Linked DNA regions of Rattus norvegicus. Each later gene encodes a partner of the first gene's protein in a complex. Links are inferred from orthologs where the notes say so. Each region holds a gene or a part of one and is shown in the gene's direction. Other genes may lie near its edges. The genes, in order: Topbp1 and Phf8.

The links.
Region 2: the proteins of Topbp1 (region 1) and Phf8 are in contact, whole or in part, in a crystal structure (PDB 7CMZ), measured with the Homo sapiens proteins. The link is inferred for Rattus norvegicus from reciprocal best matches to the Homo sapiens genes TOPBP1 and PHF8. Residues at the interface, in NP_008958.2 of Homo sapiens: Gln1298, Cys1299, Arg1314, Asn1315, Glu1316, Leu1319, Arg1369, Ser1406, Arg1407, Gly1410, Phe1411, Arg1413, Leu1414, Arg1465, Thr1466, Glu1467, Ala1470, Asp1471, Gln1475, Asn1483, Tyr1484; in NP_001171825.1 of Homo sapiens: Gly842, Ala843, Cys844, Phe845, Asp847, Ala848, Tyr850, Ile851, Tyr852, Pro853, Ser854, Leu855, Glu856.

The regions. Positions count from the first base shown.
Region 1 is NC_086026.1:112,790,491-112,794,310, forward strand, and holds part of Topbp1 (DNA topoisomerase 2-binding protein 1), read left to right. Parts: intron 1-489; coding exon 490-660; intron 661-752; coding exon 753-862; intron 863-2,031; coding exon 2,032-2,155; intron 2,156-3,349; coding exon 3,350-3,496; intron 3,497-3,593; coding exon 3,594-3,696; intron 3,697-3,820. UniProt on the Homo sapiens protein: Scaffold protein that acts as a key protein-protein adapter in DNA replication and DNA repair. Composed of multiple BRCT domains, which specifically recognize and bind phosphorylated proteins, bringing proteins together into functional combinations.
Region 2 is NC_086039.1:24,008,798-24,012,617, forward strand, and holds part of Phf8 (histone lysine demethylase PHF8), read left to right. Parts: intron 1-1,117; coding exon 1,118-1,420; intron 1,421-2,163; coding exon 2,164-2,267; intron 2,268-3,820. UniProt on the Homo sapiens protein: Histone lysine demethylase with selectivity for the di- and monomethyl states that plays a key role cell cycle progression, rDNA transcription and brain development.

The DNA.
Region 1 (3,820 bases):
CAATTTCAGTTCTTAAGTACTTACTGCTAACTGCTAATAAGGTAAGTACGCTTAATGGTTTTGTTTATCTGTTTTAAAATCTATTTCTTATGTGCATGGTTGTTTTGCCCACATGTATGTCTGTATGTCATGTGCATGCCTGGTGAACAGGAAAACCAGAGAGTGCAGATCCCCTGGAACTAGTGTCACATATAGTTGTGAACCACCGTATGGGAGGGAGCTGGGGATTGACTCCCTGGTCCTCTGGAAGAGCAGCCAGTGCTCTGAACTGCTGAGCCACCTCTTGAGCCCCTTATTGAATGCTTGGTGAAGAATATGGAATTTTTTCTTTATAGTATAAAAATAAAAATTATAGTTCATGCTTTTTATTTTGGAGATAAAGAGTTCAAAGATGTAATCTTTTTTCCTTTCCTCCCTACTCTCTCTCTTTCCCTCCTATGTCCCCCTTTTCCTCTCTTTATTTTTCCTTTTCCTTGTTCTTAAATCCAGGATGCACTTGCAGCCTTAGAAACCCCAAATGCTGCCAGCCAGAAGCGGAAACTGAGCTCACCACTCTCTGAAGTCATCGTCAGAAACCTGACAACTGCTTTGGCAAATAGTTCACGAAACACCGGCTGTCTTTCTGCTAGCCCTCAGCTAAAGGGTGCCCATTTGGAGAAGGTTATTAATACCATTTTCTTATTAAATGAAAGGTGTCCCTAATGCATGTCAAAGAACTGTGACTGATCTCTTTCTTTATTCTCCACGTATAGGAAGAGACTCCGAAACCGCTTGACAAAGTTGTGGTGTGCGTGAGTAAAAGGCTCAGTAAGAAGCAGAGTGAGCTAAATGGGGTTGCAGCCTCACTGGGAGCAGAGTACAGGTAGGTTCACCTTTATGTTTGCCGCCAGCCGCAGCTCGGAGAGAGCCGAAAGTCTCGTGTTCGTTCGTTCGTTCGTTCGTTCGTTCGTTCGTTCGTTCGTTCGTTCGTTCGTTCGTTCATTCATTCATTCATTCATTCATTCATTTATTTATTTTTCTTTTTTTCGGAGCTGGGGACCAAACCCAGGGCCTTATGCTTGCTAGGCAAGCGCTCTAGCACTGAGCTAAATCCCCAACCCCTCATGTTCATTTATAAGGAAGACTTGGCTTTGCTTGCTTGTGTACACGTCTAATAAAACTTCGATTTATTTTATTAAAGCAGTCATTCGTATGCTTTATACAACCAGCACACGCTTGTGAAGCTGTTTTGTGCTACTGTTCTGGAAGCTTGTGATCCATAAGTGACCAGCATAGTTTAAAGAAGTTCCTTCATGGAGTTTATAGTCAGTGCATCTGGGACCGACTGCATTTATTATCTACCGTAGTGATTTCCTGAGAGTAGTACTGACCACTGTAGCAAGTCTTCCTAGATTAAAATGGTCATTAAAGATATTTTAGTTTGCTTTACATTTTTAAAAAAACATATCTTGCCAGGGCATGGTAGTACACTCCACTAATTCCAGTGCTTGGGAGGCAGGAGCAGGTGAGTCTCTGTGAGGTCTACATAGTGCCAGGACAGCCAGGGTTACTTAGTGAGATCCTGTCTCTAGTGTTTTCCTAAGAGACGTAGTCTCAGGCTCTGGTAGAATTCTTGCCTAGCATATCCAGAGGCCTGAGCTCAGTTCTAAACACAGGTACAGTGTGTGGTAGGGACTAACTAGAGTCAATAAACAGGGTGGTGGCCAGTGACTGGACATGGATTTGAATGCCTTTAAGTTTTATTAACTTTTAAATACTTTTTATTGTAATTAAAAAGTGATATACATTTAAGACAAAATGGAAGGACTTTTAAAAATTTAAAGAAGGTAGTAATATTTCAAAAGTATCCCTCTGACATCTTCCTACATGGTGTACCTGACTATGGAGTTGCTAACATTTGTCAGGATACAGAACCTGCTATTTACTAGTCTTGCCTGTTCTCTAGTTCCTTGAGTTTTGTGTGAGAATGTTTTGTTCGGAGTAGGCTGTCGCTTCCCTTAGTTATTCCTCTTGCATATTTGGTTGTTTCAGGTGGAGTTTTGATGAGACAGTTACTCATTACATTTACCAGGGTCGGGCAAATGATAGTAATCGCGAGTATAAATCTGCAAAGGAAAGAGGGGTGCACGTCGTGTCGGAGCATTGGCTGTTAGAGGTGAGCAGTGCCTTCCCTCCTTCCTTCCCTCCTTCGGTGGGTGAAAATGTACAGTGTTTCAGACTACAAGCCAGTTTCATTAAATATAAATACATTTGCTAATCTTAGCTAACTGCGTGACAGGGCACGCCAATAACTGCCCGTTTCATGGCTGGGAAATGAAAGAGGTGGTAGAAAGTGTTCGGGTTCCACTGCTTTCCAGGCACACCCCGAGGGGCCCTGTTGGACAAACACCATGTGGACATAAGGGCCTTTGGGACTCCCAAAATCTGAGCTATATGTAGGTTGTGTTCTGGGCGTTGTTTTGTTTTAGCATCAGAACTTAAGGTTTTTTTTGTATTTAAAGATTTATTTATTACTTATTTATTTTTATGCATATGTGTACTCTGTCTGCTTATACACTCGAGTGCCCAGAAGAGGGCATCAGATCCCATTACAGATGGTTGAGAGCCACCATGTGGTTCTGGCGAATTGAACTCAGGACCTCTGGAAGAGCAGTCAGTGCTCTTAACCATCTCTCTATCCCCAGAACTTAACATTTTTATTGCTTGAATATTTACTAAATTTTAAATGAATACTTTGATTCCTTTTCGTCATTGAAAAATTATCTGAAGAGTAGCTGAGGTAAAAGGCGTGGAAGGCAAAGGCTTTCCCCACTGAGCCCAACTACTTGAGTTGGGTTCCTGGGCCCACAGAGTAGAAGGAGACAACCAACTCCACAACTCCACAGTCCATGATTGCAGCACCCTACCTGCCTCCCACCCCAGTGTAAATAGATAAAGATGTAATTCAAATTATATAAAAACAAAAGATGAAAAAGTGTATAATTTTTGAGGACAGTTGACTTAGCATCCTGATACACTTTAGCTATGCTTTTCTTGGTGCTGTCTAGAATGGCTGATACCTTGCTAAATGCAGAGGCAGGATTAGAGTTTATGCTTTAATACACAGTGCATTTTGGAAGTGACGGCAGTTTGTTACACGTTTATTTAATCTACTGTGTGTGTAGGCGTGTGCAGAGGTCATTTTATTCCTTTTACAGTTTAATATGGTTTCAGCGGTTGAACTCGTGTTACCAAATTAATAGGGCAAGTACATTTACTGGCTAAGTCATTTCCAAGGTCCCAATTGGTTATTTATATGCTAGAGTTTTTCACTGTAAACCTCTTTCTAAAATATCCACTTGTGTTTCAGTGTGCTCAAGAGTATAAGCATCTTCCAGAATCTCTTTACCCACACACTTACAACCCCAAAATGAGCTTGGACATCAGCACAGTGCAGGACGGGCGGCTCTGTGACAGCCGCTTACCCTCGGCACTTTCTGCATCTAAGGACGATGAGGTCGGTGGTGTGCACAGTGAGCCCCTCCTAAGCTGGATGTAGCCGTCTTTATGCAGTGACCATTGTTTGAGAAGTTGTCATTTTTCTCTTTGAATAGCCAGATCACCTGTCTGTAGAAGAAAATGCAACAGAGACTTTGGGCACACACAGCAGAGAGTCCGCTCTGCTGAATGGGAATGGAAGGGACGACTGCAAAGGAGGTGAGAGGCACTTGTTTACCCCTCATGCCCATGCCACGCCCTCCAAAGACAAGGCTTCTCTGAGTGCTTCTGGAGCTGACTCTAGACCAGGCTGGCTTCAAACCCAGAGATCACCGTCCTCTTT
Region 2 (3,820 bases), on another chromosome or scaffold:
AAGGTGCCAGAGAAAAATTGGACTTGATGTTTAAGCTGTCTTAGGAGCTGTACAAATCTATTTAGTGCCTGAGAGATATCTGCGTGTTTGTCTTTCCCTCCCTTCCCTATTCCTCTGTGTCTGTATTTCCCTCCCTATTTCTCCTCTCCCTTCTTTCTTTTCTTTCTTTCTTTCATTGTATATGTATGTGTGTATGCACATATACGTATCCTTGCTACAGGGTGGTTTGCTTCTAAAATTTGGACTTCTGGCCTCACTGCTTACAGCATGTTTCACTATCTACACTGTAGTCTACAGTGTTTACATCCTACCCCATTTTCCTCCATTTCACCCACTAATACCTTTTAGGAGTCAAATGACTATTTGATTTCAAGTTCTTAAATAACCCAGTTTTATACAAACAGAACTTTGGGCTGGAGAGAAGAAAACTCATGAGATAGAACATGACTTGTTCATTGACTTTCAAACATTTTAAAGCAATGGAATACTTTATTTTCAAATAACATTTTATATGAAAAAGTTTATATAACAAATCAAAGTATAGCTGCTTTGAATTGGATGAAGGACAGAGACCTAAAGCTCCCCTTGTTCCTCTCATCTGCCTTCCACATACCATCCATCTCCAAGATTTCTCCCATGAAGCTCAAAGAAACCACAGAACATCTTTTTTTCTTGACTTTTGATTTTACAGCTGACCAAACAAGTTCTAGAGCGTGTTCCACTAGAAAACTTTCCCTAGGTCAGAGAGATAGCTGGTAGCAAAATTAAGACTAGAAACTTTCTTCAAAAGTTCTACAGTCCAGAGTTTCAACCACACAGATAAGTACTTGATTATTTTTTATTTTGTGTTAGCTAATCTTGGAGACTTTTCCCTCCAGTTTTGACAGTAATGATTTTCTTTGCTCGTCTTCTCTTTACTTGTCAACCACTGGGTAAAGAAATGCCACCCAATAAATGTATGATGGCTCACTGTACAGAAACCAGGGGTGTGCATATGTGGAACACGTATATACGCCACTTCTATGGCAATACCATTAATGCTGGGAACAGACCTCTGCTCTTAGCATAGAGAGACTTGAGTAAGCTCTAACCCCCTCGTGTACTAATACTCTTGTAGGACATCTTCCAACAGAACGTTGGGAAGACGAGCAATATCTTTGGGCTGCAGAGGATCTTCCCAGCTGGTTCCATCCCCTTAACCAGGCCAGCCCATTCCACTTCAGTATCCATGTCCAAGCTGTCACTGCCCTCCAAAAATGGTTCAAAGAAGAAAGGCCTGAAGCCCAAGGATATCTTCAAGAAGGCAGAACGAAAGGGCAAGCAGAGTTCAGCCTTGGGGCCTGCTGGCCAGTTGAGCTATAATCTCATGGACCCATACAGTCATCAGGCACTGAAGACAGGCCCTTCCCAGAAAGCAAAGGTGGGTGCTGACCCATGGGTTCAGCCCAACCCTTTTGGGTCCCTTGGAAGAGCAGTATTAAAAAAAAAAAAAAACAGGCTATCCTGTTCCATCTCTTAGGGCCCCTGGTGTTTGGCTACCAGTTCCACTCATTTAATAGACATTTATTGAGACATTTTCTGTGTTGGGCACTGTGATAGGTGCTGTGAATGGAACTCAAGAGGCTGAGAGGCTAGAAAGGAAGATAGGCATAAAAACAAATGAGTGATATGAAGTGCAGATGCCAACCCATGATCAAGGGTATATGTGGGGTTTTGAGGCACAGAAAGTGGTTGATGCTATCTAGATAGGGCTCAGGAGCTCTTTGCCAGGTACATGACACTTGAATTGAATCTTGATATACTGAGGTGGGAATGAGATTTGAGAATGTTTTCTGTCAGGTTAGAATCTTGAACAAACAAGTCCTTGTCTCCTCTCTCAGGCTTCACCTTGTCTGAGTATTGTGTTGGCCTATCTGGGTATCTAATAATGGTGCCCTCTTCCCTATTTAGGGAACATGTTTCATGAGCTATGATTTCCCTGAGCCAGGCATATATTCTCAACCTCCTACTCCTATAATTGTTGGAGGTGGGGGTTGGGTACAGGCATATCATAAGGCCTATGTCAGAGGGTTGACAGTTTAGTAGTAAAACCAAAAGAAACTGGCCATTTTGATTTACCCGAGAGCCTCAGACTGGTGACAACTGAGCCTCCTCCTTCTACAGCTCAACATTGGTGGTGCCTGCTTGAATGACTCAGATGATGACTCAGCAGACATGGACGTTGATGGCAGTGAGAACCCCCTGGCCCTGTTGATGGCTAATGGCAGGTAAGATGGGTAAAAGAAGCACAGAGGTAACTAAGATTACCAGTGACAAAATGATCTGGGGGTTGAAACATAGGTGAGAGAAGGGCAGTATTTAGACTAATATCCAAATGTTAATAGATATTTACTTTGTTTAGAAGTTATGGTGGATAGGGGAGAGGTCTGGAGTCTAACTAGTAATTTTGAAAATGATGTTGTATAGGTTCAAGAATTTTAGCAAGTTATTATGATAGAACTACTAGTAGAAATAATGTTAGTAAATGTACAGGTAAAGACCACAGTGTTTTGAGTTGACAGATGGCTCAGCTATTAAAAGCACTTACTGCTTTCACAGAGAACCCCAGTTTTCAGTGCTCACATACAGTGGTTCAAAGTCAGCCATAACTCTAGTTCCAGGGAATCAGATACCCTCTTCATGGGCACTAGGCTCACGTGTGATGCACATACATACATTCAGACCAAATATTCAATTATTTTATATTGTATATAAAATAAAAATAAACCTTTAACAAAAGAAAATAGGGAATTTTAGTTAAGTTTTATTCACTATTATGTATAGAGGAGTGGGGATCATGGGCAATACCAGAGTGCCACAGAATGGGTGTGATGGTTAGAGGACAACTTTTGGGAATTCATTCTTTCTTTCTGATATGGGTTCCAAGAGGCAAACTCACTTAAGCTTTGCATGCCTAGTGCTTTTATGTCATCTGCTAGTAAAAAATATGCATTTAAAGTATGGTTTTATAATTAAATGCATAGGAATTTCAGTTTACAGATTGTATATTGTATACACTATTGTACGAATGTGTAAGGAGAAATGTTCAGTGCATACTGCGTCATTGTAATGATATGTGCTTGGAATTAGTTTAAATGTTTGCCAACACAGGTTAAGTAAATTATAGCATATCTTTTTTTTTCTTTTTTCTTTTTTTTGGAGCTGGGGACCGAACCCAGGGCCTTGCGCTTGCTAGGCAAGCACTCTACCACTGAGCTAAATCCCCAACCCCTATTATAGCATATCTTTAGAAAGGAGTCCAAGTATTAGAGAATCTAAAAGAACAGAGCAGTTTAGTATCTATTAGCACAGAAAGATGTCATTTTTATCCTATTGACATGGGTGTCTCACTATGTCACTCAGGTTGGTCTTAAATTTCTGACCTCAAGTAATGCTCCAGGCTCTCAAATAGTTGCCACTATAGACATTCCGTGTTTCAAGGTATATTTAAAAGGTTTTTTAAATTCATGCCAGGGATTCAATTTAAGGGTTTGTATATACTAGGCAGTCATTTTGCTATTGAACTACATCCCCAGTCATCCCTCACACTTTTTTTTGAGATAAGGTCTACCTATGTACCTCAGGGTGACATTGAATTCACTTATGTAGGCTATATTCATCTTGAAATCATGATCCTCCTGCCTTTGTACCCTGATTGCTGGGATTGTAGGCATGTTCTACTACTATTTCTGGGTTGATATATTTATAAACGTGTGTGTGTGTGTGTGTGTGTGTGTGTGTGTGTGTGTGTGTGTGTGTGCATGTTTTAATAGCATAATTA